Linked DNA regions of Notamacropus eugenii. The protein of the gene in region 3 purifies or fractionates together with the protein of the main gene of each other region. This does not show direct contact. Links are inferred from orthologs where the notes say so. Each region holds a gene or a part of one and is shown on either strand. Other genes may lie near its edges. The genes, in order: ITCH, BAG6, MAVS and IFIH1.

Region 1 (7,427 bases), about 320 Mb from region 3:
AATACCAGGGTAGAGATGCAAATTACAGAAATAAAATTGAAACTCAAATGACAGGAAGCTAACTAAAGTAAAGGATGGAGACAATTACAAGACAAAAGCATGTGTGTGGGTGTGTGCGTGTGTGCGTGTGAAAAAATTCCTACCCAAACTAACAAGACAGACCAAGTGGATGAAAATGTCTATTGTTCCAATTTCAACATGGATTTTGATGGACACCCACAGAACTTCTCCAACACTCTGTATATCTAGGACACACAATACAGATAGATATGAAGGAACATGACCAGAAATGAACAGGAGGATTGTTTTCAGAAAGCTGCAAAGGTCTTTTACTGACCCCAAGTTTCCTATGAAAGCAAAGGCACGTTTTTTTCAATACTATCATTTTACCAGTGTTCTACATTAGCAACAAGATGTAGAGTATTACTGCCTCTAAAGAAAGGATGAGTATCATAGAAAGGGTAACAGAAAAGCGTAGTCTATACAAACAGATTACAACACATAACCAACAAAGAACTTCAAAGAACAGGAGTGAAGAATGCTACCCAAAAAACACATGAGAGAAAAAGATGGTTTGTCATATAGTAAAAGCAAAGGATTACAGTGGACAGCTACACTGTTCCACTGGTACCCTGCTGATATCAAGGCAAATAGAGAAAAGGATGATCTCCTCCCCATTGAGTAGTTCCTCTCTGAAGAACTTTTAGGACAACATGGACCTCACCAAAAAATGGGTAGGTATGAATAGGTTGCAATCTGCATTTTTGGAAAGAATGCCCAAAGCTTTGACACCAAAGACTCATATGAATATTTTCTGGTACATACCTAAATGTGTACATGTCTCCTGTGATAGACTAAAAAATCCTTGAGAACAAGGACTTTTTCATTTCTGTCTTTATTTCTTTGGTAGACATAGGTTAGCATGTAGCAGAAGCTTAATAAATTCTTGCTAATTGCTTGACTGGAAGGAAGTTAGATAGATACTTTTTAGTCCCTGGAATAGAGCACTAGCTCTTCATACCATTCAATCTAAACTCCTACTTCTTCTCAAAACCCAAACTGACCTGGTACTAATTGGTGGTGTTTCACATAAATATTAAGGAATGGCTCCCTAGGAACTGAACTCAAATATAATAGACTGTGTTATTCAGCCTTCTTAATGAGCCCCTTTGACCAATCTGACAGGGCAATCACTTGGCAACAGTAAACTTTTTTTCTGCATAGCTGAAAATATACAGATGTAATTATTTGGGCCTTATAGTCACTGTCTCTGAAGCCACTGTATTTGCCATTGAGTCCTTTACATTAACTGAAACTCAGAAACAGGATAGGATTTCACCAGATCTCAAATCAGTTCATTTCTGTGGTGAAAAGGTTCTTAGAAAATAAATCTCTAAATACCCATAGCTGGTTTAGAAAGTGAAAGAAAGTAATAGAAATGCACTACTTAATTCATTGTCTTGTAAATATAGCCTTTCTCCATAGTTTAAAAGCAAGAAGGCAGTGGCAGTTGGCTATTCTACAACATGAGGGGGGAAAAAATTCTACAACAAAAATCATACAACATACATATACACATAAAACCTATAACAGAAACCCATCCTATGAGAAGGCAAGAAGTATGGGAAAAAATTAAGAGGTATACTAAAACAAAGTTGTCTTTGTTCTGAATCAACTTTAACTCTCCTTTAAGAAATGTGCCTTTTTGAGAGCTTAAGCTCACCTGTTTACACGCAAGATGACTAATTTTAGACCCAACCTCTATCGCCACCCTACAGAGCTGGTGTTTTTATCTACTCTTTAAGTACTCACGTCAAAATACTCGTCTTAAAAACAAGTTACACCCCCTTCCCCACACACCACCACCACCACCATCATCATACTGTCGGGCTTTCATTTCCACCTGTGTTGGTCGGTTGCTTTTTTTTTAAAAGTCATCTCAGCTTCAATGACCCAAGAAAATAAACACTGCACTGAGGGCAAGGGGGCGGGCGCAGACAGAAGGCACCAGAGCCCCGGGGGAGAAAGGCAAGGGAACCGAACAGCCAGCGAGGACAATGGGAAGGAGGAGGGTTCGTCAGTCGCTCCCTCTCTTTCTGGCGGGTGCGATTTGAAAGAACCAGGTGAAAGCTGTGGACTCGGGAAAGCCAGAGCAGCGCTAGAGTGAGACGTCCTGGAAATGAAGCCGCAGGAAGGGGGCGGGGACAGCAAGTGGGCAATGTTCGCCCGCTCGCCCTCGCTCCGGACGCCTTCGGTCCCAGGGGGCTGCAGCCGCCCCCCGCCCCGGCCCGGCCCAGGTGCCAGCGGGGGGCGGGGAAGCCTCCGCCTCCACGCTCCCCTCCCCCCGCGGAACCCCGGCAGCAGGGTGCCTGCGGCTCGCGCCCAGTCACTAGCTAGCCGGGGCCGGCACGGAGCAGAGCCGAGCGGGGCGGAGCAGGGCTGGGCTCGGCAGCGAGGGGGGAGAAGCGCCCCGCCACCCTCGTTCTCCCCTCTCCGCCTCCTCCACACACAACTTCTGGGCCCGGGAGGCGGGGGACTCCAAGCCCCTCCGCCTCGCCAGCCCCACAAGCCAGCGTGCCGCCGCCGCTCCGGGCTCGTGCCGGCCCCCTCCCCCGCGCCCGGCGGCCCCACTTGTCCCTCTCCCCTCCCGCGGACCGGGCCCGGCAGTGAGGGGGCTCACAGAAACCAAGGGGCCACCCCTCCCTCCCTCCCTGCGGGGCACGGCTCCGTCCGTCCTCCCCGAGATCTCCCCCTCGCCCCGCTTCTAAACCAGCCGCCCTCCCGCAGGTGTTTACCGGTCTGGGGGGAAGAGGAGGAGGAGGCGGCAGCGGCGGCGGCAGCAGCAGCTCCTCAGTCCCGCGGCTAAGATGGCAGCCACTCCCGAGCTCCAACCACGGCGAGCAGCCAAAGTCGGCACCCAGTGCGCAGGCGCGGCCGCTCCGAGGTGGCGGAGCCAGGGAGCGGCCGGGACTACAAGTCCTAGTAGGCATCGCGAGCCCCGCCCATTTCCCAGCGAAAGGTGCCAGGTTTGGGGGCGGGGCAAAGGGGAGGGGGAAAAATCCTGAAGCAGCTGGCTTCCCCTAGATACTTCAAGGGCAGGTGATTCGGGTCTCGGCGATTCTTCTCTGGAAGTTCTGAGTGTGAGATGGGCACGGGTTGCATCGTTAGACGTAAGAGTCGGAAGTCCCGGGTTTGAGTTCTGACGCCGGCAAGTGTTGTGGGACCCTGAGCAAGTCGTGGCATTTGCCAGAACAAATGACGTCTGCTTCTGTAAAATGGGCATGATAACTCCTGTCCTTCCTGTCTCACAGCAGTGCTGGGTAACACCGCCAGTCCTAGTACCAGCTCCAGCCCCTGTACCCTGTCTGCCTCACACCAATCTGGATAATAACCCTGGCCCTACCGTTTGGCAAATAAAGGAAAGAGGTACCTATGTTTACATGGTGGTTGTCCTTCATTCTCGAAGACCAAAATGACATCACCATGATAAAGTCCAGTTTCAGTATGTCCGACTATGACTGATCAGATCAATACGAGGTCGGAATGCTTCACCACAGACTGGTCACAGATGTGAACATTTAGGGTGGATACTTCAAACTTGTGCATCCTCCGTTTCCTTTGTGCTGTTTCAGTTCTGCTTTGCTTATAGAGCACAGAACTTTTTCTGATGTGGGCACAGCATGCTGAGCGGTCCTGTGCCATGTTGCACAATCAAATCCAAAGTTCTTGAGAGAGACCTTGAGAGTGTCCTTGTATCACTTCTTCCGACCACCATGTGACCATCTGCCCTATACAAGTTCTCCATAAAATGGTCTTTTTGGCAAGCATACATTTTGCATTGAAACAACCATGGCCAGCCCATGAAAGTTGCGCTCTCTGAAGCATATTTTGAATGCCCTGCAATTTAGTTCAAGCAAGGACCTCAGCGTCGGGGTACCTTACCTATCTTCAGAATCTTCCTAAAACAGTTCAAATGGAGACGATTTGGTTTCCTGGCATGGCACTGGTAGACTGTCCAAGTTTCACAGGCATACAACAATGAGGTCAACACAACGGCTCTGTAGACTTCAGTTTGGTAGTCAATCTAATACCCCTTCTCTGCCATAGTTTTCTTAGGAGCCTCCCAAACACTGAGCTAGCTCTAGTAATGAGTGTGTCAACCTCATTGTCAATGTGTATATCCCTGGAAAGTACACTACCAAAGTGAGTGAACTTATCCATGGCATTCAAAACTTCTCCATTTGTTGTAACTGATGGTTCCATGTGTGGAACACCTGTGTTTTCTTGGTGTTAATTATTAGGCCCAAATTAGCACAGGCAGCAGAGAATTGACCCATACCTTGTTGCATCTCAGCTTCAGAGGCTGCATTGAGTGCACAATCATCTCCAAACAGAAAATCATGCACCAACACTCCCTCCTCCTTGGTCTTGAATTGTAGCCTTTTCAAATTGAACAATTTACCATCTGTATGGTAGCTGACCTTGATGCCATGTTCAGCTTCATTGAAAGCATTTGACAACATGGCTGAAAACACCATGCTAAAAAGCATGGGAGCAAGCACACCACCCTGTTTCACTCCATTGGTGGCTGACAAGGCACGAGAGCATTGTCCACTATCCAGAACCTGGGCACACATGCCATCATGAAATTGACATACAATACTGATGAACTTCTCTGGGCAACCAAATTTTGACGTAATTTTCCATAAGCCCTCACGACTGACAGTGTCAAAGGCCTTGGTCAGATCTATAAATATTGTGTATAGACCTCTGTTCTGCTCCTGGCATTTCTCCTGGAGTTGTCAGGCAGCAAACACCATAACAACTGTGCTTTGGCCCTTTATGAAGCCACGCTGGCTCACAGTTAGATGACCATCTTCCAGGTGAAGGATCAGCCTATTAAGGAGGACTCTAATAAAAATCTTGCCAGCAGTGACTAAGAGAGAGACACACCCCCACCCTCCCACCCCCATCCCTCACCCCGTGATTATCTCAGGACGATCTATTTTCTTTACCTTTATAGAGATGGACAATGGAGGCATCCTTGAACTTCTAGGGGATAACCTTCTCTTGCCATATAACCTGAAAAATTTCAGCGTGTGTTTACATAAGACTAACTAAAACAGGACAAGTAAGCCTGAAGTCCTTCTAGGAGCCAAGGCACAGTATTAAAGTGATATGAAGAAACCTCTTACTCTATACACAGCTTTACAAGGTGCTACAAGACATGATCATAGCATTAGAAGGGACTTCAGATTGTCAAATCCAATCTCAGTATTTACTCAGTTTCCTGATGGGAAAACTGAGTCCAAAAGAGGGAAAATGATTTGCCAGAGGTCACATAGTTAAAGGCAGAGCTTGAACTAGAACCTGGGTCTTTGGGGCTCATGCCACTGTACCATCCTGGGTCCCAAAGAATATAAGCTATGGGAAGGAATATAGCTGAGGGGCTCAGGCTGTCCAGCCTGGAAAGGCAAAGAGTCCTCCCTTCCATTCATATGCAACATACTGGGTTCAGAGGCCTTTGGGGCTAGCACAGGAAAACCTCTGATCAGAGTTCAAAGATCTATGCCACAAGACTCAGTAGCGACTAAAGCAACTCTCCACCTTCCTGCATGAAGACTTTATAACACATACAATCAGTAAGAGCCAAGAAATTAGAAGCTGCTACTGTCCCATACCCTTCTCCAATCATTTAGAGGGCGAAGTTTAGCCAGATAAGAGTAGAATAGGGGAAGAGGGAATTGAGCCATAGGCTATAAAGCCAGAAGGAACTTTGGCGGTCATCTAGTCTGATGTCATTTTACAGAAGAAAAAAAACAGAGGTGAAACATGACTTGCTGATATTGTACAAACAGCATGATAGTAAAACCAGAAGTCTAACCCTGAGTTCTTTGACTCCAAATCCAATGTTTTGTTTTGTTTTTCTGATGCTACCTTTCAAAAGTAAGAGTGGAAATCCTTTGATTATCCAACCATTTAAAAATAATTACTTTTGTTAGAATGAATTAATAAGACCCTGGTGTAAACTGGGCATTTACACCTTCTTGAGTCAATCCAAGGCATTGTTTGAGACTTGGTTATGTCCTAAAGAAATTGTATAAAAGGAGCTATCTCAGAATAAAAATTCTAAATTTTAAGAAAAGAGGAAGAAAGAGTCATACAGAGGCAGGCATGAAAGAACTGATATTATAGGAAGCAACTAACCAACAAAAGGACAGAGAAGAAAGATATCCAGGAGGGTTATTGGTTCTACAGGCTGACTCTACAGTGTGCCCCACCTACTCAAGGACTGAGGGAAGTACTGAAGGAAAAAAAGTATTCTCCCCAAATTCCTCTCCTGGTGCCTCTCTATCCACAGACACTATAATATAGTCTTATTTTTTTTTCAGCCCAAATATTTCCAGTAACATGAATTTTGCCCCTACCTCCAAAGAGGCCAAAGGTTAACTAGAAATAGATATAAATGTAAATTGAAGCAGAGCTCCATCTCTGCCTAAATATTAGGAATTTTTGTAACTGGGGCTGCTCTAAGAGATTGTGATTGAAACTTGTAACTTTTCATTTAAAATAAAGTCCCTTAAGTCTCAGAGAAGAGTACTTTGTGATTGCTTGTAAGTTTAAAACAAGCTAATTATTTTAACAGTGTTAACAAGTATTGAAAGAGATGTTATATAGAAGAGAGTTTAGAATTTTTCTGTTTATACCCAGAAGGCTGAAACAGTAGCAATGGATGAAAGCTGAGAAAAGGCAGAATAAGCTCTAACATAAGGACTCTCTAACAATCAATGATATTCAAAAATGTAATGAGCTGTCTTGGGAAATAATTATTTCTTCTTTGTCAGAGGTATTCAAGAAGAGACTGAATAATCACATTTAACAAATGTATAGAGGATACAGGTATAGGTTGAACTCGATGATATCTGAGGTCCTTTCCATCTCCAAGATTTAATAGATCTTCTCTTGACTTCACAAAGCAGCCACTTAAGGTCACTAGCACTTTGGCATTATGGAAAACAAAAAAGAAAATATTTTTATCCATACTTTGTATCTACCTCAGTGCTAGAAAGAGGTATACCTCAGGTATTTAGTAAATGGCAAATATGTTGGTGAATGGACGGTATTTCTGAGGCACCATGGCCCTTAAAGCTGTCCTGCGAAGACCAGCAAATCTTTGCCCAGGCATAGGCAAGAAGAGGGTCTGAGAGTAGGTCTGGCCATATTTATAATAACTGTTGACATTTATACAGTACTTTACATTGGATCCTCACAGACCCTGTGAGGTTGTCCGAATGTTATTAATTTCATTTAACAAGAGAGGACACTGAGACACAGAGAAAGGAAATGACTGAGCTTAGGCTGTGCAGTAAATACCAGAGCTTGGAAAGAAACCAGGTCTCTTGTCTTTTCCTTGCTTTTCTACTTGC
Region 2 (7,746 bases), on a different chromosome or scaffold from region 3:
CCACACAAACAGATAAACTCTTTCACCAATCCTTTTCTCCCTTCCATTTAATCTAACCCATTCAGCAAAGAGCCCATTTTCTTTGTCCTGAGGGAAGACAACTGGCCTGGCAGAAAAATTTTGTATCTATTAATCAGGATGCTAACCAGGGATGAACTAGAGACTAGAGTCAGCTAACCCAGAGAGGTCAAGATATTAGGAGACTGAATAATAAGGGCCCTTGATGGAATCCCAATTATCTAATGGGGAAAGGCCATTACATTTAGCAGCTGGCAATGGTCCAAATAGAAACCTAACTTTAGCTCAGACTCTGGGAATTTCTGGCTTGAAATAATAAATGGAGAGAAAGGTACCTGATGGGATACCCTTCCCCACAACTTACTTTCTGATGGTGGCCTGTAGTTGGAGATTTTGGGGAACATGGCTAGCAGCCATGTTGAAGAGAATGTTGTCCACTGGGACAAAGATCTCCAGATCTTGCTTTGTAGAAGCTGCACCGGCAATGAAGTACCATTGACCCAGGTAGGGTCCAGGGAACTGGATGAGCAAGACAGGAGGAGGGTATGAAATCAAAAACTCTTCCTTTGCAGATAGGTTTCATTATCCTTCACTCAACCTCATCCCCCAATGGTTCTGGAACTATGGGTGAGCTTCCATTTCATTTGCCCCAGGTCACTCCTACCTCTTTTAATAAGGCTTTTTCATTTGTTAAGACCTTTGGGCTTACTACTCTAAAAGTCTCAGTACTCTTTTTTATATCCGTTCCTTGTCATCACTATCCCCATATCATCTTGTACCTCCAGGTATTCCCCCAGGCTCCCCACTTTAAGTCCCTCAAAATCTCTTCTACAGACCACCAAATCCCTGCTTAATTCCCTCCTGTTGTCTTTCCCCTACCCTCCTTCCTGCCCCCATACCTCTTTTCCATTTACTTCCAGAGGACTTAATTGATAAGGCTTAGAACACTGGTAAATGGAGTCATAGAGAATCCCGGAGATGTAAAGGACAGATTTCCAAATTTGGTAGAACATCCTCAGAGAGTATAGTGCAAGGGTGGCAGCTGCCTGAAACTACTCTCCTCTGTGAGTTCTGTCCAGTGCAGCCTCTGGCCCCTTTCCTCAACCCTTGATCCCCTGGATCTGCTAATGAGTAACTAGTCTTGTTTTCCAACCCAACTCTGGGTTGTTGACAGTGTTCTGGGCTTTCCTCCCCCTCCTCAAATTACATACTAGCAGCATAACTGGGAGTTTACACCTGGCTGGGGGAGGGGAAGGGTGCAGCCTTCTGGAGGTTCCTTCATTCATTCACTGGCAGTATTTATTGTATACTATATTCATAGCACCATGTCTGGTGAGGGAGAGAGAATATAGACAGAAGTCCTGTCCTCAAAGAGCATATTATCTAATTAAGGAGACAAACACTGCAGCAAAATCATTACATTAAAAAAGTAATTATTAAGTACTTTTTATATACTGTGCTGGGCATAGAGAAAGATATATTAGATTTCAGAGGAACCTAAAAAGTTCAAACCCTGCATTTTTAACAAATAACCAAACAGGTCTGAAAAAGGAGTGATTTTTCCAAGGTCACATTACTACTAAGTGGCAGAGCTGGCAATCAATCCAAATCCTCTGACTCCAAGTCCAGTAATTTTTTTTCAACTTTTTTTTAAAGTTTATTTTTAGTTTTCAACATTCACTTCCATAAGATTTTGAGTTACAAATTTTTCCCCTTTCCTCCCCTTCCCCCACCCCAATCTGATATAGACTCTACATATACATTATACATATAGTCCTACAATATGATATAGGCTCTACGTATACATATAGGTCTGCAATCTGATATAGGCTCTACATATATATATATGTGTATATATGTATATATATATGTACATGTACATATAGTCCTGCAATTTGATATAGGCTATACATATACATATAGGCCTGCAACCTGATGTAGGTCATACATATACATACAGGCCTGCAATCTGATATAGGTGCTACATATACACATATATGTACATATACACAGAGGCCTGCAATCTGATATAGGTGCTACATATACATATATATGTACATATACATACAGGCCTGCAATCTGATATAGGTGCTACATATACACATATATGTACATATACACACAGGCCTACAATCTGATATAGGTGCTACGTATACATTCATATTAAACATTTTCACATTAGTCGTGCTGTAAAGTTCAGTACTCTTTCCATTAAACCAAATTACCTTCTGCTACCTATCCTCATTGACCTCACAATCTCATAGTGCACAAAACATACATAAATAACTATAGTGCAAAGAACAAAAGTATATGAGAGGAGCAAATAAAATGCACCTTTCTGCAAAATAACAGGATCAGTTGGGGGATGAGAAGCAAACAGAAGGCTACTATTACCTGAAGGAAATGTCACTTAAAGGTAGCTTTAGAGGATGAATAGGATTAGGAGGTAAGAAAGTTTGAGAAGCAAATAACTCCATTTTGCAGAAGCTTAAATGTTCAGAAAGAAATGCATACAAGGGTTAAACAATAGTGGGAAACAAGGATGCAAGAGAAATTTTCGAACAATAAAGCACAGCCAAATTTATAAAATCTCAGAGTTGGAACCCTACTCAATGGGGAACATATAGCCCACTATACCCCGCTCCACCCCCAAGGGCTATACACCTATACCTTAAAAAGAATCTACTCTAATCATCCTCTACTCCTGGTCATCTGGTGTTTACTTGAATGACTCCAGTGAGGGGAAACCCACCACCTAAAGAGGCACCACTCCCTTGCATTTGCAGAAGGCTCCATTAGGAAAAAACCCAATATATCTGTCCATTGCTCCAAGTTCTGACAGCTGGGGCCGCAGAGGAATGGTAGAATTACTCTAACAAATGACAACTTTTCAAATACTTGAGGACAGTTATATCCCTCCTTGAGCCTTCAGTTTTCCAGCTAACAAATCTCCTGTTCCTTCCATCAGTTATGAACATATTTGTATATGTATGTATATTAGGGACAGCTTGATGGCCCAGGCCTGGAGTCAGGAAGACCTGAGTTCAAATCTGACCTTAGCCGCTTATTAGCTGTGTGACCTCGAGCAAGTCACTTAGTCACTTGGCAAGTTTCCTCATCTAAAATGAGCTGGAGAAGGAAACTGTAAACCACTCCAGCAGTATCTTTGCCAAGAAAACCCTAAATGGGGTCACCAAGGGTTGGATGTGACTGAACAACAACAAAGGTATATGTATGTATCTGTGTATGTAAATTTCCTCCAAGTCCCTCACCATCCTGGTTGTCCTCCCTTGAATGCTTCCCAGTTCCTAACTGTCCTTTCAAAAATGTGGTACCCCAAAGTGAACACAGGACTCCATATGTGATCTGACCAGGGCTGAAAATCACAAAGCTATTTTCCACATTCTGGACAACATACCTCTTTTAATGCAGTCTATGATAAATCTTACAGGGGGAAAAAAAAAAGAGGGCCTGATCTGAGATTCAATTGGTTGGATTTAAATTGGTAATTAATAAAATTGCACTGGATAAATAATTTTTTGTCTTTAGCCCATTTTGAAGGCCCAATGTAAAGAAAAATCATCTTGAACAGTGAAAGCTATGTAAAAGCTGAATGAGCTGTTAAAGAGTAGTTGTTCTCTCTCATCCAGGTCTTCTAAGTAGAATCTTGATGACCCCTTTGCTGGGGATTTCTTGAGGAGAAGCTTTTGCTGAGGTATGGGTTGGAATAAGCTGCCTCTTAAATCCCTTACAGTTCTGAAATGGTGACCCTCCTAGCCCCAAGGGGACCTCCAAAGGTCTTGCCTAGCCACCGAGCACTACTCTCTGGATTTGTCACCTCCTCTATGGTCCAGACTTCCTCTGGTTCCCCCATTCCCTATCCCTGGTCTTTGTCCCACTACCAGCTACCACCTTCCATTTCCCTTCCCCCACCAGCATTAAGCAAGAGTAACAAAATGGCAGCAACCTCCGCCCTCAAAAAATATGGCCTCTTTACCTCTTCCCCCACCCCCTCCATTTAAGGCAGAGATGTCAACGAGTGGTTTGGCTACTCTCGTGACCCTTAGGAAGGAAAAAAAAAAAACGCAAACCCGCCCACGTATGAATCCCACCCTGAAAAACTTCGCGTTGCCCAAAAGAAATATGGCGGCTGGCTCGTGCCCCTCTGAATGAACATGGTGCGGAGCCCCAACCTTCACCGCCCCTAACCGCCTGCTTGGAAGGTTACCTAAGGAGAGGTGGAAGCGGGTTTACTTTAGGTGTCTAAAATATTGCCGTCCGATGGACGCGGCCAACCGCGAATTTCTTCCCTTTTTAGAGAAGCAACCTCCATGCCAAAGGCACAGTCCTCCCACTCACGAGAGAACAGGTCTTTTGCGAGATAGACGGAAAGCCCCAACGGGAAAATTACTTTCAGGCATTTGCTGTAGTCATCCGCTACGCGACCTCCCCACCCTCCTCGCGCTGTGGCGCAGGCGCGCACTGTAGGCTGGTAAATCCAATCAGTGGGGCGGGTCCTCAATCGTGTACGCAAGCGCAGTGTGGTTTGCGCAAGCGCACTAAGGTCCCCCGGGAGGCGGCGACGGTGGCTCCTGTGGGTGCTCGGCTTCCTCCCACCTTGGCCGAGCCCCGACTCGTTTCCTCTTAGGGGCTCCCCGGTAACCCGGGCTGCCCCTTTCCTCGTCGTACCCCACAGAAGGAAATCTTGGGGACCGGGGGAACCGGAAGTGCCGTCTCGCGACCCCCCAGTTTCTATCGGGGAACAGGAAGTGTTCGTGCGGAAGTGTGGGGGCAGGACCGGAAGTGGCGTTGCCGCCGGGAGGCCGGGGGCGGAGCCGCGGGGCAGGTGTGTGTATATGCGTGTGTGTGTATGTATGTATGTGGGTGTACGTACTTACCAGCTAGTGTGTATGTATGTGGGTGTACGTACATGTATGTATATGTGTTTGTACTTGTGCGTAGTTCTCACTGTACCACCGAGGGGAAGGGTGACATCCAGCTAGACCGGGGCCTCTCTTTTCCTTCCGTCATTGTCCCGATTTCCTGATCTGTCGCGACAGAAGCAGGCTCGCGGGCTCCCTATCGCGGTGGGCGTGGCATGGTGCGCGTGCGTGGCGCATGTCTCCCTGGTCCCTTCTCACCTTCTTGACAGAAGGGACCTCCCAATCTTATTCAGGCCTTTACCCCGCACGCCTTCCCCTCCCCCCCATCCTTTTTTCTCATTCTTGTCCTCCTTTGGGTCGTGACAGATGCTGCCTTGACGTTATTACAGGCGTTATTTCAAAGCCTCTCCTGTATTTGAGTTACTGCTCTTGTTATTCTCTTCCCCTCACCCAGGGTTAGAAGCTCAATGTGTGTGTGCTTGGAGTTGGAGTGGGGGTTGGATTCCTTGGGGAGTTGTGGTAGAGTTTGGATCAGCACTTGGAACGTAGGAACTTAGCTAGATCCTGTGATAACAATTTAGTCTTGTTTTCTTCTTCAGCGTGTTCATCATGGAACCCAGTGATAATAGCAGCAGTGCTATGGAGGAACCAGCCAACTTGGAGGTACTGGTGAAGACCTTGGACTCCCAGACTCGAACCTTCACTGTGGGGGCTGAGGTGAGAGCTGAGGGTTCAAAAATCTTCGGAGTTTCTATAAAAAGCTTTTCCTTAATCACTTTTTCATCCTGAGAAAAGGACCCACCAGATTCTCTGTCTGTCTTCTATTTACATGTATTATTCATATTGAACATCAGTTAGTGGATTTTAGAACTGGAAAGTAGTTTAGAGATCATCTGGTTCTCTTCATTTTGTAGATAAAGAAACATCTCATGAAAGTGTTCTGATTGTTGTCTGGGTCACAGAGAGATGCATTTCCTAAGAGGACAGTCTCTTTATCATATGAATAATTATGTTCTTAGGAGAATCCTAGAGGCAAAAAAAGAGTATGAATTTCTTGTCCTTGAAGAGCCTCCAGCTGTAATGGAAAAAGATATGGAACCTGTGGGGGGTGAGGGTGGGGGCAGGGCACGCTGGCAGAAACCACAAGTAGACTTGAGAAAGTATGAGGGTAATTAGGGATGTTTCTTTCCTTAACTTTGCTGGCTCATAATAGTTTGGCTCTCTAAGGCAAGGCCAACAAAACTACAAGGCTTCCAAGTCCCATCAAGCTGGAAAGGCTTTGATTACGGATCCAGCAGTGTACTAAATATTTGTCATTTGAGAAATACTCAGAGGAGGTTGATCATCACAAGATTGGCCTACAAATGAATTTTTTGTTTACAGTAATTTATTAAACTATTAAGTAGTAGAATAGTTGTGATCCATATCAGTAGAGAAAGTATAACATGGATGAAAGTGAAGAACCTAGAAGTAGGGTTGTTTGGGGATATTCTCAAGTTTTGAAATCTCACGGAGAAAAACCATTTATCACTTCAAATCATGCCCTGGTTTCTGGCACAGGGACAGAATAACTGAGTTAGGATACACCCTAAGTCTGGTTTAGTTGATCAGTATTGTGGAAATAATGGTATACTTAGAGTTAGGAAAGATTTAGGATTGATAAAATCACCAAACATCTCTAAACCTAGATTTCCTTATGAGTGAACTAGAAATGATAAATTTATAATACCTCTCTATGTTATTTGCTTTTGCAAAACTGTAAAATGCTCTATAAATGTTTATTTTTACTATTGTTGTTAACTTGATACAAAGACAGCAACGTAAGGAAGAATATTTTGTATGTGTATGTCTATATATACACCTACGTACATAAACACATTTATACATGTATGTGTATGTCTACTTATACATAGATAACACAAAAAGCCTATTTCTTTGGACATGCACAAGTCATTAATCTCATCTGTTAAACTAATCTCATCTGATATCCAAACACAGTCTGGGACCCTGTGTCTGATTACAGTTCCTTTTCCCTCACAGAATGTTCCCTTATTAACCATACTTATATCTATGGTAAGGTTCTCCCTACCTGTAACTCCAGACATAGAACCAAAGGGAAGGGAGAGAATATAGGACTTAACGGGACTCTGTTGTTATGTCTTAATTCTCTCCTGGGCTAGCCATTGAATTTCCATTTAAAACCATTGCTGTGATTTCACATGTGTAATTGATATCATATTGTTGCCTCTCAGTGGGTGTGGGAGGGACGGAGAGAATTTAGAATTCAGAATTTAAAAGGAAAATGTCAAAAATAAATAATAAATTGCAATTTTAAAAATTGCTGTTTTCTGTCAGGTATTTCTTAGCCCAGAACCTTGCAGGCAGTGGCTACTTCATAAATGTAATAAAATGGGCAATGATTTTTATAACTGTTATGTGACTCACCCCCCCTCTACCCCCCACTAATTGCTTGATATTCTGCATTACATATTCTGTGACCTTTCTTCCTGTTCCTTTTCATCTCTGCAGATGACAGTGAAGGAATTTAAGGAGCATATTGCTGCCTCGGTCAGCATCCCTTCTGAGAAACAGCGACTCATATATCAGGGGCGAGTTCTGCAGGATGAGAAGAAGCTACAGGAATACAGTGAGGGGCTAGATGGGGCTTCAGGAGAAGGATTATTTGCTGGTTGGGGGGAGGGTTGAGGTATTTAACTGACTTTTCCCTCACTCTTCTCTTCTCTTTTCTCATTTACTACAGATGTTGGGGGAAAGGTGATCCATCTGGTGGAGCGGGCCCCTCCACAGACCCAGCCTCCATCCTCTGGGGTTGCCTCGGGGGCAG
Region 3 (6,844 bases):
AGCAAGTGTCTGAGGCCAGATTTGAACTCAGGAAGATGATCCTGCCTGATTCCAGGCCCTGTGTTCTATCCACTGCACCACCCAGCTGCCAGGCCAGGCAGCTTAACAGACACTTGTGGAATGAATAGAAAGACAGACAGAAGGATGTAATAGACAAGATGTTCAATAGAAATGATAGAGAGGATAAACAGATAGAATAAACACATACACACACACACATGTGGAGGTGGAGAGAGAGCAGATGAGAGGGTGAGAAGGGAGGAAAGGTGCTGAGGCATAGACACACCAAGGCTGGGGGAGGTGCTCAGTGACCTCCCAGTGCAAGAAGACAAAAGGAAGGGCACTCACGGGCCTGGTTAGATGCATAGACATTAGCAATGACATCAGCGAGGTCCGTCAGCTCGCATTCCTTCAGGGCTGTGATGAGACAGGTCACCCAGCCATTGCGCTTACGAAGGTGATCAAAGAGCTTCCACACACTGTCACGGTTTCCATGACGGTCAATGTAGGCACGGAGCTGGTCCTGGAAGAGAAAGTTGTGACCATGGCTTCAGAGAGCTCACCTCCCAAGCTAGGACTGTGGCAGCCTCTGAGCCCCCAGAGAGGAGAAAGAAGGGATTGACACACTATGAAGAGCTTCTGTAGCTAGGGTACAAGTCTGGGATAGGCTAGGGCAGGGGCCTTGAGAGCAAGGGTAAGGGAGCAGGGGAGAGGATGCAGGTGTCCCAGAGGGTGTGAGTATCCTCTGCATCTAGCTGATAAGGGGAGAGGAGGAGAGGAAGCTTCAGGGTGAAAACTGCCTCTGCTATATCACCTACTTGGTCAGCAACGGTGAGGCAGGGCAGGTGGGACAGGATCTCCAAGACATCAATGCGGAAGAAGTCACTGAGGTGGAAGCGAATGTACTGCTCAGTTCGGTCCTCAGCCAGAGGCATGGTCACTCAGGGCCTGAAGGGGAAAGGAATGAGTCTGTGGTGTGAAGAATGTGGAGGCAGAAGGACTGGGGCTGACTCCTGGCCCTGCCACTCATTATCTGTGTGACCTTGGGGAAGTTCATTCTCTTTTCCCTCTCAGGGAGATGTGGTAGGGGTGGGAACCTGAATAACATGAGCTAAGTTCCTTTCAGTTTCTAAAGTGAGTGAGGACAGCGTACTGGCCCAGCAATGGCCATCAAGTAGAGCGCCAGCAGAGATGGAGAATTCTTCAGAAGATGGAGGAAAAATCAGTGGGGCCATAGAACCACGGAGGCTTCTTGCATTTGGAAAGATGGAGGGAGAAAGGAAGGCTTGCGACTGTCATCTGACAGACACCGGTGGGGCAGCCAAACCCAGGCTCCCCCTTTTCAATGAGCAAGGGTGATCAGGGAGACTGGTTTTCTCTTCTCCTGAGGACTTTCCATAATCCAATGCAGTCCAAGTTGGTTGGGAAGTCTGGTTTGGAGGCAGAGGGATGGACCAAATGACCTCTGATCCCTTTCAAACCAATTACAGAATGTCGGAGTTGGAAGGAACCTCAGAGGCCATCTAGTCCAACCAACACCTGAATAAGAATCTGGACAAGGTGTCACCCGGCCTTCCCTTGGAGACTCTCTGTAGAGGAGAACCCATGACAGCCTGAGGAGGCAGCTCTGTTAGCATGGTTTTCCTGACATCAGATCTAAAAACGCTTCTTGGTAACGTCTGCCCATCCTTCTGAGTTCTTCCTTCTGGGGTCCATAGACAGTGTCTGCCAAGTCTCCTCTTTACAGCACAGACCCTGTTCCTGTGCCATGATCTTGAGGCTATCACATCTTGGTCACCCTCCCTGTTCCACCCTCCTTCCTAAAGTACAGCCTGCAGCCCACACAATACTGCCCCAGTGCTCTCTTGGAGAACACAGCTTTCCTAGCTGATGTACCCCATATAGTTATCAATGAAACTTTTGCCCAGCCATTCCTCTTCTTGTCTCGGTGCTTTTTGAGCCCAGGTGTAAAACATCATTTATCCTTAGGAGGTCTAACGTTCCAGTCCATGCCCATCCCTTCCAGCATTGTGTCACCTGCAAGTCTGATGCAAAATCTATCCCTTCATCACAGCACAGGATCGAGCGAAGATCCGGTGGCCTGGAGCACTGGTGACCTCCCTCCCCTCTCCCACCGGGCCATTAATGACTATCCTTTGTGCCGGACCACTTCACTAGTTCTGAATTCACTTCACCCGACCATCATTTAATCCATGGCTCCCTTTCCAAGAATGGCATGAGAGAATTGGGCAAATGTTGTGATTCAGCGGCAGTACAATGCACCATTAGAGCTTCACTCCTTTGGGAGTAAAGTCTTATCTCCAGAAGGTCCTAGTTACCTCAGCACAGAAGGGCACTTCTGATGGCTCCAGCAGCGAGCACTGCCACCTAAGGACGGAGAGAAGGGGATATTGGGGAGGGGGCCCGGGGTGTCAGGGTTGGGAGAGCCCTTCTGGGGCCCCTCTGCTCCCGGCCTGACCCTGCCCCGGGGCGGAGGGGGGTGCCCTTCCCCCACGAGGTCTCGGCATCTGTGGGCACCTGGTCAGAGTCACCAGGCTACGGCCCCAAACAAACACTCCTGTCCTCGGCCCCTGCCCAGGTCACGGCTCGGACCGCGGGCAGGTGCCCGGTCTGGGCCACGTGGACCAGCCGCCCCCCTCCCCCCCCCCCCCCCCCCCGCCCTCCCTCCAGCCTCAGTCCCCTCCTCTCCCACCTGCTGCACTCCGAGGCTGCCCCTCCCCTCCCCCGCCCAAGGACCACGGTCAAGGGCAGACGAGCCGCGCACCGGCCCTACCCCCAAGGCCCGCTCCTCCCCCTCCTTTCTCCCCTGCCCTTGACCTCCAGGGCGGCCCGGAGGGGGTCCCCGAGACGCCGCCCCGCCTACCTGCGGGCAGAGCCCCGCTCAGCTCCGCTCCGGTCCGGTCCAGCCGAGGCTGGCGACGGCTCTGGCGCAGCGGCCCAGGCTCTGAGGCTGCCCCGGGAAAAGGCGGAGGCGCCCGCAGCGCCCGAGCGGAGCCGAGCACGGGGGCGGCAGGCGGGGGCAGGACCAGGCCCAGGCTCGCGCCCGCCCTCGCGGCGCCCGCCTATTGGCCGGCGGGGCGAGGGGGCGGGGCCTGGAGCGAGAGGGGGGAGGGGAGGGAGGGGAGGGGAAAGAGGGAGGAAAGGGTGGGAGGAGAGAGGGGAAGGAAGGAAGGAGGCCGGGGAAAGGAGGGAGAGGGTCGGGGGAAGGGGGGGTCGGGGGAAGGAGGGAGGGGGTCGGGGAAGGAGGGAGGGGGTCGGGGGAGAGGACTGCAATGATTTGACCAAATTTGACAGGAAAAGGAGTCAACAGGCCCTGCCAGGCGCCATCCGGCGCGTCTCGGGGCAACAAGTTACCCCAAAAACGGACAGAGGAGGAAGGCCAAGTACTGCGGGGGGAGCGGGGAGCCGTCGCCCAGGGAGGGGGGTCCTTGGCCACAGCACAGGCCATGGGGGGAGGGGAGTCGCTCTTCAGGGGCTGTCCCCGTGCTCCCGTCCTCCGACTGCTCTCTAACTGTCCCGGGGAGGAAGGCAGGCCAGGTCGCCTCTGCTCCTTCGGTGCGGAGGGCGTGTCCAGCCCTGGCTGGTGGGAGGAGGAGGAGAAGAGCCCGGGCCCCGCCAGCCGGGTCTGCACCCCGCTGTCCCCCTCCGAAGGCGGGCCGAGGCACAGGCAGGCGCCTTATTCCGCGTCCGTGGAATGAAGGAGTGAATCCCGCCCCAGCGCACGTTCTAAACCGACGAGCACTGGAGAACGCAGAGCCAGGGTCCGAGGTCGCCCGCGAAGGTGCCCCGGTGCTCCTAGGTGGCGCTAGAGGGCCTTGCGCTGGAGACGCGAGAGCACCTGGATCCTCAGACCCGGGGCAAGGCACCGGCCCTCGGCCTCGGTCCCCCTAAGCACCCCGGCCCCCACTTCCCAGGCTGATGTGAGGATCAAAGGAGACAGTATTCCTGAAAGCGCTTAGCAGTGCCGGGCACACGGAGGAGAAACGGGAAACGCTTGTTTCTTTTCCCTTCTTCCCTTACAAGTGGCCTAGGATCGAGCTCAGTTCTCAAATTTCTCGGTCTCAGGATATATTTACTTTTAAAAATTGCCGAGGACCCAAAAGTTTTGTTAAGGTGGGTTGTATCTATTGATATTGACCATACTGGAAAGCGAATACATTTTTGAAAGTCACTTAAAAGTAACATAGTAACTATTTTCCAAAACAGGACCTGTCTGGTGAGTATTGTTTTACCGATTGTTGTGAGGCTCTTGAACGTCTGGCTGAATAGTTGGGGTCTTGTTTCTGCATCATCTGATCTGCTGTGACATGTTGTAAGAAGAGAATCTAGCCTCACGCAGAGGCGTTGGGCAAGAAGTACAGTAGGCAAAGGAGGTTTAGGATAAAAATCCAAGGGCCACATGGACAACCAAATTCATTTTACAGATGAGGAAACTGAGGCAAACAAGGTGAGGTGACTTGCCCAGAGCCACACAGCTAGGGACTGGGTTTGAACTCAGGGGCATGAGTCTTCCTGACACCAGGTCGCTGACCAGTTACTCAAACCCAGATCCTCCATGTAAGTTATGGCTTTTTCACACTACATTATGCATTAGGAAAAGACTACTTGGAGTGATGAAGAATCCAGCTGGAGAAGGGAGGAAGAAGGCCTGCCTCTGGGCTCCATGCTGTGGAGCGTGGGGGAGGCCAATCTGGGGCCTCCCTCAGGTTATTTTGTACAATCTCTTTACTTTCTAGAAGAAACTGGAAACCAGGGTGGGAAAGTGCTGGGTAACCGCATAGCTTATTCCTTGGCCCACTGTCAGTGTCCTCCCTGGGCTTCCCTAGATGACAAGCCCAGGTACAAGCATGCTGCTCCCCTGCTCCAACACCAAGGGCTCTCCGTAATTGTGTGGCCCAAACACTGGCTCCCCTGTTTGGCACTACAGGCCCTTCACAATCTGGCTCTGGTCATTCACTGACCAAGAATGGACTTAGCAGTTAGTAATAATAGTAGATGACATTTCATCCACCACTAAGTTTGCACTGAGTTCTGTGCCAGTCACTGAGGATTCAGACAGACAGGCCTCAAGGGCAGTCTTCCTGCAATATTCTGGGGAAGGACCCAGGGACTTTCTGTAGAAGGTGTTGCATGAACTGTGCAAGGCTGAGGAGAGGGCAGAGGACATGCTGGGCCTGAAGGATGGAAAGCTAGTCCAAAGACAAGCAGATGTCATGCCATCAACCAAAAGAACCAGCAAGACAGTCTGGTTGAAAAGTAGAATCACGTTCAATAAATCTGGACAGCTAAAACACAAACAAGAAAAGCATTTTTTTATTCTCTATTAAGAGGAGACACTTGACTTTATTCAGCAGGACAACAACAGAGCCGGACCTTCGCCTTAGGAACACTGCTCCCCAAAGAGTATGGAGGCTAGGCTAGAGGGGAGGGAGGCTGGAAGACCAATTAGGAGGCTAGTGCAATAGTTCAGAGAAGAGTAATGAGGAACTAAATTGGGGAGTGGAATAGAAAGAAACATGCAAAAGATTTGGGACCAGATTTGATGTGGAGGTGGAGATGAGGAAACAGGTCACACAGCTAAGCACGTGTTTCAAATTCAGGTCTTTCTGAATCCCCATCCAGTGCTCCATCCACTCCCCACAAGATTTAGCTAAGTTAGGAAGAGGTGGGCCTTGAGATCTAATAAATGACTTTGTTTTGGACATTTTGTGCTGGAGCTATCTCAAGGCCACCTATGCACTTGGAGAAGTTCACAAAAGAGGTGATGTGGGGCTTGTGCAGCTGGGGCTGTACACAGAGGTGAGAGTTCAGTCTGGAGAGCCAAGGACATCAAGTAAAGAGAGGGCCTTGGGGTGGACACTGAGGAGTGACCGGGCTGAAAGCAGCCTTCCTTAGCTGGCACACACAATTCATCTACCCCCTCTGGACCTTTGTACAAACCACCCCTCATGCCTGGAATGCAATCTCTTCCTCCCCTCCACCTCTTGGGATCCCCAGCCCCCTTCAGAGCCCAGAATGGCATTTCAGGAAAAGCCCCAGCCTGGCTACACCTCACTTCCTCCTCTCACCATGAATATGTTCCTCCTTTGCTGAACCTCTGAAGTTCTGGAGCCATGAATTACCATCAAATCAATTCGGCCACCCTTCCAGACACTGCTTTGTTTCTGCATTTATAGCTCAGCTACTCACACAGTAAGTGCTTGCTTTGGGGCAGCTAGGTGGCACAGTGAATACAGTACCAGTCTCACCTCAGACACTTGACACTCACTAGCTGTGTGACCTTGGGTAAGTCACTTAACCCCAACTGCCTCATCCTGGGTCATCTCCAGTCATCCTGATGAATGGATTCACTGGATTCAGGTGGCTCTGGAGAAGAAGTGAGGCTGGTGACCTGCACAGCCCTCCCTCACTCAAAACAAAGTCAAGTGCAAGTCATGTCATTATTTCTCTGATAGCAAGGTCTTCTTCAGCAATGAAGGACAAACACACACAAGTGCTTGCTAAATAAATTCATTCCCACCTGCCAGAGGCTTTTCTGGGCTTCGTGCTAGTAAAGGCTCTCTTGCTTTACAGACTTATCGATGCATAGGTCATTCCTCCTCAGAGGAACCTGACATGGAACCTGACACAACCAAAAAGCACTTGTTAATCAATCTCCTAAAGATCCAAAGATCCAGGTGGCGAGCTGCATCGGAGCACTTTGGGACAAAATGCTGAGCAAACCCTGTGGTTCACTTCAATTACAAGGGCTTCTTGGGCCCCTGGCCCACTCTCCACAATCTCTTCTTGGGCCTGTTGGCAATGTGGAGTGGAGTGGACCCTG
Region 4 (7,709 bases), on a different chromosome or scaffold from region 3:
TTAGTCTTTTTATAACCTGATCTCTTCTGACCTTTTCAGCCTTTTAACATTTTAGTCCCCTCCACATAATCTGAGCTCTAGTAACTCTGGCCTTCTTGATGCTCCTCAAACAAGTTACTCCATCTTCAGACTCCAGGCATTTCCCACCCCCACCCCCCATACCATACCAATCCCCATTCTCATCTCTACCTCTGTTTCACTGGCTTCAAGTTTCAGCTAAAATCCTACTTTCTACAGGAGTAGGGCTTTCCTGACTCCCCCTTAATTTCAGTGCCTTCCCTCTCTTGATTATTTCCACTTTATCCCATACATAGCCGTTTGCATTTTGTCTCCCCTATTAAACTGTGAGCTTCTCAAGAGCAGGAGCTATCTTCTGCCTTTTTTTTTGGTATTCCTAGCATTTAGCACAGTATCTAACACATAGTACAAAAATAAATGAGAAACAAGTGATGCCTATCAACTGGGGAATGGCTAAACAAACTATGTTATACAAACATAATGGAATATGACTGCGATGTAAGAAATGATGAATGTGGTGAATACAGAGAAGCATAGAAAGACTTACATGAACATGATAAAAAGTAAAATAAACAAAACCAGGAAAATCTACACAATGACTACAAGGTAAATGGACAGAACCACAAAATAACTGAAAACGAATGCTGTAAAATTGCAAAGAATAAGTTTGGCCCCAAAGAAGCTATTAAAAAAATCCATCTTCTCTCAATATTTTGCAAAGATGGTGGAGAGGTTCACAAGTATGGAATACTGAATATATTGTCACATTTTTTAAAAATTTCATTGATTAGGTTTGATTTTTTCTTTGAATATTTTCTCTAATGTAAAAACAATTTTTAACATTGTTTTAATTTTAGTTCTAAATTTTCTCCCTCTCTCCCCTCCCTCCTCTCTGAAAGAGAAAGCAATTTGACATAATTAGACATGTGCAATATCAAACATATTTCCATACTAGTTATGCTGTGAAAAAAAACTCTACAGATCTCCCCCCTAACCCAAATAACAGTAACACAATAAGATAAAAAACAGTATGCTTCTATGTGCATCCAGACACCATCAGTTTTTTCTCTGGAGACGAACAGCATTTTTCATAACGAGTCCTTTGCAAATGTCTTGGATCACTGTATTGCTGAGAATAGCTAAGTCAGTCACAGTTGATCATCATACAGTATGGCTATTACTGTAGACAATGTTCTCCTGGTTCTGCTCACTTCACTTTGTATCAGTTCATGTAAATCTTTCCAGGTTTTTCTGAAATCATCCTGCTTGTACCCCCACAAGGGGTACAGTCATTACCTAATTGATGTTTTTTTTCTTACTTTTCTAATTGTTATATAAGTTGGAGGGGAAGGATTGGGCAAGATAATGGAGTAAACTTAAGTGACATAAAAATAAGATAAATTTTAAAAGTGAGTATAAAACTATATAAGCCATTGATTCCATACTGAAACCAAAGGCAGAGCTCTTACTCAATACGTCAGAGAGGTGTGGCATCTTTGACCTGTTAAAAGGCACACTGATTCCTGCAACATAGGAACGTCTCCCTTTCCGTTTTTAAAATACCAAACATTCTCATTAAAATGTCTGTATTATGAGTTTTTCATGACATAAGCTACCACATAACCACTGCTCATACTGAAAGATGGGACTGGACAGGGATCATGAAGCCCTGAGTACAGCTAGCTACAGAGTCATTCTCTTACATCCTCAGAAGCAAAATGCCCCCACTTTAAAAAGTCTGTCTTTGATAACCTTTTATGTCTAATCAATATTTATTTGGCAGGGGGGGGAAGGGGCAGGGATGAAGTAAGAGAACAGCTCTCTCGCGTCATGGATCCTAAACTTCCAAGTGGACGAACGCCTCAGAAGCCATCTCGCCCAGCTCCCTCCTGGGGCACACACAGATCGGGTGATCTGCCCAAGATCGCAGAGGCAGACCAGATCTGAACTGGGCTGTCTTTTCACCTGGCCAGGTGAGCTATCGGGTTCTCAAGGAATAACTCGGTCAGAGGTGCCCCAGAATGCACACAGGTGCGCGCACACAGGTGTGCACACCGGGGGCAGGAGAGGGCTCTTTCTGAGGAGGCACCTACCCGGTTCCGGTCTTCCTTCGTCAGCAGATCCTTCTCCAAGCACCTGTCCACCACATCAGCGGCGTGCAGCTTGTCCACCAGGGTGGGCTGCAGAAGGTCCAGCAGCTGGACGCACCGGTCGTGACAGGTCTCTAAGGACGGCGAGGGCAGGTCGGCGAGGTCCGGGCTCACGTAGCGAGCCGCCAAGGGGCAGCCCCCGTTCTGAAGCCCCGTGAGGAACTCCCGGGTCCAGCCGGGCCCCCACGTGCCTCTCTCCAGGGTGCTCAGCAGGACCTCGGCCGCGGCCGTGTTCCCCTCCGAGGCCGCGACGTGCTGGATCTGCTCTTTCTCCGCTCTTCCCAGGAAGGTCAGGTAGTCCAGCACCGGCTCCACTCGGATGTACCGCTTCAGCCTGGGCCTGAAGCACAGGAGCAGACTGCGGAAGGTCTCCTCCGGGGAATGCTCCCTCGACATCTCGCCCGGGTCGTGGGCAGCCCAGGGGCCCTCGGCGCGCTCCTGCGAGCCCTTCCCTCTTCGTCCTGCCTCGGCGCGGACCGTGGGTTTTACCGGAATGGCTCCGGCTGGCCGGCCTGCGCGGCGCTGAGTGCCCTGGCGCCCTGCTCCGCCAGGACTGCCCGCGGACACAAGGAGAGCTCCCTGGGCAGCTCTACCGGCTCGGCTCGGACCGGCAGGGCCCCCGGTCGCGGTGACACCACCTGTCTCGTCCCACAGCCCAAGCGCCGGCTGTCCGCGGGGCCAAGCTTCCGCCTGGTGGCCTGCGGGGAACTTAGTTTTTAAAGTCTGAACCGGGACAATTTCTGTTTCGATTCCCGGCTTCCAGAGCTTCCGTGCGTGAAGAGAGGGGCGGAGCCAGGCTGCGGCTGGGGAGGAACGTATATACGGACAATTCATGCAGACCTGCCTATTCAGAGGCAAAATAAAGTAGGTCTTTATTGGGTGAAGGAGCGAGCAGCAGCTCTGCGCTGAGTAGGAGGCAGAGCCCCCGCGTCCGCCAGGATCCTAATTCTAGCAGCCCCGGGTGCATGCCCCAGACTCCCCTCCGGGCCGGGCCGGTTACGGAGACCTTCATTTTCTCCTTGATAAGATACAGGAGCGGGGCTAAACGATCTCCCAGGGCCCTTCCCGATTTGACTTAAGATTCCCCAACTTCCCTTGCTTGCTTTAGAGAAGACTGAGAAAGGCTTCAAGTCCGTGAAAGACGTATACAAGCCGTCAGCGCTTCTGTTCCCAACAGATGCAGTGATGGGTTCGGGAAAGTGATGCAGGAAAATTTGGACAGCTGGGTGAAAGTCTGTAAAGAGCGCACTGCAGCGTGAGAGGTAGGTGGAAGAGCTCTCCATCTCCCTCCTCCTCCCTCTTTCTCTCTGCCTCCCTCTTTTTCAGAAAAAAGTACTTTCTTTTTAGACTTCAGATCTGTCGGAGACATTTTATTAATGTATATGGTGGTACAATGGATAGACTATTAGACTTGGGTCAGGAAGACCTGAGTTCAAATTCAGCCTCAGACACTTACTAGCTTTGTGACTTCAGGCAAAGCTCCTACCTCTCTCAGCCTCAGTTTCTTTATTCATAAAAAGGAGGATAAAAATAACGTCTACCTCACAAGGTTGTCATGAGGACCAAGTGAAGTAACATATACAAAGTACTTCACAAACCTTGAAGCGCTAGATGAATGTTAGCTGTACACACATATATAAATGTATGTGTGTGTATGTACACCTACACACACACACACACTCTCTCTGCTAGTTGGAAGGAGAGATAAATGGCACATTTACCCCTGCTAATTGAAACTCCCCCTCCCCAGGCAAGCTCTTCATACATTTTATAGTTTTCAGAAACAAAGACAAAATTTCACAGTCAAGATCAAACAAATTTCAGAATTTAAGGAACAGAATGTAGGTAACACTCAGATGGATCAAGTCCAGTGATATAACAGCATTCAGTCCCTCTTTAACCACTGCCTCTAAGGACTGTCTTTTACTCATGATCAAAAGTGAAGGAACGAATGAATGCCATTTATTAAAAACTTACTATATTGCAAAGCACTGAATTAGGGATAGGGACACAAATAAAAATTTAAGACATTTCTAGCTTTCAAGGAGCTCCCATTCTAATGGGGAAGAACGTATAGATAAGTTTCAGCTCCAAGTCAGATAGGAAAGTCCTAGGTCCTTAGGTTGTAATGGTGAAGCATATGGTAATGCATCATGTTCAGTGTCATTTCCATTGATTAACTCATATCACTTTGTCATGCTGAACAATTTAACAGGGTCAAAGATTTTGGAAACAATAATCTTCTTTTCTTGGTATTAAGTAGCTGTGGTTGCAGCATCCACAGAAGCGGTTGCTATATGTCCTCGGATAGAGGAGAGAGAAGTCTTGGAATGACTGAGGTGAAGGCTGGGTTGGAAACCAAACTGATGGTCTGGGGGTCTTGTCATTTCTGGGATTCTTGGGCTTAGATACTCATAGACGGCAGATGATCAGTTACTGGTGAACTCAAGTGAAGAGACATTTCTATCAATTGAATTTAAAAAAAACTTCCTTCTCATAAATCATTGTGCTAATTACTTCAAGCAGGAGTCCTTGACTAATCAGGCTTTTCTCTGTAGAAACTAATTGGGTTTTCAATGAAAATGATTTTTGAAAGATGTCAGTGTAGGACATTGTTTCAGGATTAACAATTAAAGAAAGACTTTTAAAACTTTAGATTAAAGTATGCTCCTAATATTATTTTGTAATATTAGGAGGGGAAGGGGGGGGATGGGGACATTGAGCTCGGTTTCCACATGTTTCTTTACAACTTTTACACATAAATAGAGGGCAATAACATCTAAGGTAAAGACTACTCTATGGAGTTGACATCTCCCTAATCCCATCAATCTTACACACTGCTCCAATAAAAATTTTTATAAAAAACACCATTATCTATATATCATTCAAAAAATTTCTGCAATAGTCCACTATCAAAGTTCCAGATCTTTAGCCTAGCATTCAAGGCTCATCATAATCTGGCCTCTACCTCTGAAATCTTATTTGTCAGTATTGTTCAACACTAACTCTATGGGTCAATTCATTTTTTCACCCTTAACACACCAGGCGCATGGCTATCTCTTGGTATGTTTACTCACATCTGATCGTTGAATGGAATTGAATTTCTAAAATACTTTCCTAAATTTTTTTCATGCCCTACAGGTTCTTCAAAGCCCAGAACAAACTGTGTTTCTGATGGGGTGCTTATGCTCGGGCCCCATTTCCAAGATCACATTTCTCCCCAGCTTCAAAACACTAAGAGTTTTCTCCCCAGCCCAAGGACAGTATGCCTAGCAATAACTCACGAGTGGGCCCCAGGAAGACAAACTATCTTTCCCCATCACAAGAACAAGCTGACCTCTGAAGAAATTCTGTTGTAAAAACAGGACTATCTTGTAACCACAGAATTATCATGTATTGATTCCCAAAGTTATCATATTCAATCCAGAGGTCAAGTTATAGAAATCAACTCTCAAAGCTACCTTACCACAGATGTAACACCAAAAATACACCCCTTAAAAACCTCTTCCCCTGGTTTCCAGTAGTGAATGATGCCAGTGACCAAGGTTGCAAGTTATCATCTAATTAGCATATCTGCCAGATAATCCATTACTTTTCCTATATAAGTTTTAGCATCATTCCTGTTAAGTTGCATGAAGCTCTGCCCTCTATATTGGTGTTACAATAAACCTTTGCTAATTTGACTTAAAGAATACTTGAGGGGGGAGGAGCCAAGATGGCGGAGTAGAAAGACACACATATGCTAGCTCCAAACCCACAGCCCATAAAATATCTGTAAAGAAGAACTCCCAACAAATTCTGGAGCAGCAGAAGCCACAGAACAACGGAGCAGATGAGATTTCTGTTCCAGAGAGCCCTGAAAAACCGATGTGAAAGGTCTGCCATGCCCCAGACCCAGAGCAGAGCCCAGCCCTGCCTTGGCCATAGCACGGAGAGGAGCAGATCCGAGCAGGCTTCAGGGACAGAATCTCCAGCAGCCACACGGGTCCGTTCACCCACAGGTGACAAGGGTTGGTGAGAGGGTCTCTTTGGCTGGCCAGGAGGGGAGTGGGGTGTCCCTATAACTCAGGCCCCCTTGGGAGACAGCAGCAGGGGCAGCAGCAGACAGGGGCTCCCCAAGCAGGCAGGAGCCCGGATTCATTGTTGAAGATCTCCACATAAACTCCCTGAGGGAACTGAGCCCCAAGTGGCGGCCCTGCCCCCACCTGAGCACCTGAACTTAATCTCACACTGAATAGCAACCCCGCTCGCACCCAAAGCCCTGAGGCTGGGAAGCAGCATTTGAATCTCAGACCCTGCTGGCTGGGTGGATCTGGAGGCAAGGTGGGTGAGGAAAGAAAACTCAGAAGTCAAGTTACTGGCTGGGAAAATGCCCAGAAAAGGGAAAAAAAAAATAAGACTATAGAAGGTTATTTTCTTGGTGAACAGATAATTCCTCCCTTCCTTTCAGATGAGGAAAAACAATGCTTACCATCAGGGAAAGACATAGAAGTCAAGGCTTCTGTATCCCACACATCCAAAATAAATATACATGGGCTCAGGCCATGGAAGAGCTCAAAAAGGATTTTGAAAATCAAGTAAGAGAGGTGGAGGAAAAACTGGGAAGAGAAATGAGAGAGATGAAAGAAAAGCATGAAAAGCAGGTCAACACCTTGCTAAAGGAGACCCAAAAAATGCTGAAGAAAATAACACCTTGAAAAATAGGCTAACTCAATTGGCAAAAGAGGTTCAAAAAGCCAATGAGGAGAAGAATGCTTTCAAAAGCAGAATTAGCCAAATGGAAAAGGAGGTTCAAAAGCTCACTGAAAAAAATAGTTCTTTCAAAATTAGAATGGAACAGATGGAGGCTAATGACTTTATGAGAAACCAAGAAATCACAAAACAAAACCAAAAATATGAAAAAATGGAAGATAATGTGAAATATCTCATTGGAAAAACAACTGACCTGGAAAATAGATCCAGGAGAGACAATTTAAAAATTATGGGACTACCTGAAAGCCATGATCAAAAAAAGAGTCTAGACATCATCTTTCAAGAAATTATCAAGGAAAACTGCCCTGAGATTCTAGAACCAGGGGGCAAAATAAGTATTCAAGGAATCCACAGATCACTGCCTGAAAGAGATCCAAAAAGAGAAACTCTTGGGAACATTGTGGCCAAATTCCAGAGTTCCCTGGTCAAGGAGAAAATATTGCAAGCAGCTAGAAAGAAACAATTCAAGTATTGTGGAAATACAATCAGGATAACACAAGATCTAGCAGCTTCTACATTAAGGGATCGAAGGGTGTGGAATAGGATATTCCAGAAGTCAAAGGAACTAGGACTAAAACCAAGAATCTCCTACCCAGCAAAACTGAGTATAATACTTCAGGGGAAAAAATGGTCTTTCAATGAAACAGAGGACTTTCAAGCATTCTTGATGAAAAGACCAGACCTGAAAAGAAAATTTGACTTTCAAACACAAGAATGAAGAGAAACATGAAAAGGTAAACAGCAAGGAGAAGTCATAAGGGACTTACTAAAGTTGAACTGTTTACATTC

Evidence for each region.
Region 1: the proteins of MAVS (region 3) and ITCH purify together in Homo sapiens (affinity purification with western blotting; 3 studies listed by BioGRID). This does not show direct contact. The link is inferred for Notamacropus eugenii from reciprocal best matches to the Homo sapiens genes MAVS and ITCH.
Region 2: the proteins of MAVS (region 3) and BAG6 purify together in Homo sapiens (affinity purification with western blotting; 3 studies listed by BioGRID and IntAct, with this or other methods). This does not show direct contact. The link is inferred for Notamacropus eugenii from reciprocal best matches to the Homo sapiens genes MAVS and BAG6.
Region 4: the proteins of MAVS (region 3) and IFIH1 purify together in Homo sapiens (affinity purification with western blotting; 12 studies listed by BioGRID and IntAct, with this or other methods). This does not show direct contact. The link is inferred for Notamacropus eugenii from reciprocal best matches to the Homo sapiens genes MAVS and IFIH1.

The regions. Positions count from the first base shown.
Region 1 is NC_092872.1:418,486,994-418,494,420, reverse strand, and holds the start of ITCH (E3 ubiquitin-protein ligase Itchy homolog), read right to left. Parts: upstream 3,010-7,427; 5' UTR 2,991-3,009; coding exon 2,796-2,990; intron 1-2,795. UniProt on the Homo sapiens protein: Acts as an Acts as an E3 ubiquitin-protein ligase which accepts ubiquitin from an E2 ubiquitin-conjugating enzyme in the form of a thioester and then directly transfers the ubiquitin to targeted substrates.
Region 2 is NC_092873.1:85,277,681-85,285,426, reverse strand, and holds the start of BAG6 (large proline-rich protein BAG6), read left to right. Parts: upstream 1-4,729; 5' UTR 4,730-4,864; intron 4,865-4,992; exon of another isoform or gene 4,993-5,119; intron 5,120-5,500; 5' UTR 5,501-5,510; coding exon 5,511-5,618; intron 5,619-7,430; coding exon 7,431-7,548; intron 7,549-7,662; coding exon 7,663-7,746. Other genes in the region: APOM (apolipoprotein M), read right to left, coding at 383-537, 918-1,031. UniProt on the Homo sapiens protein: ATP-independent molecular chaperone preventing the aggregation of misfolded and hydrophobic patches-containing proteins.
Region 3 is NC_092872.1:735,786,435-735,793,278, forward strand, and holds the start of MAVS (mitochondrial antiviral-signaling protein), read right to left. Parts: upstream 3,016-6,844; 5' UTR 2,885-3,015; intron 2,389-2,884; 5' UTR 2,340-2,388; intron 949-2,339; 5' UTR 936-948; coding exon 819-935; intron 524-818; coding exon 349-523; intron 1-348.
Region 4 is NC_092876.1:221,886,419-221,894,127, forward strand, and holds the start of IFIH1 (interferon-induced helicase C domain-containing protein 1), read right to left. Parts: upstream 3,003-7,709; coding exon 2,108-3,002; intron 1-2,107.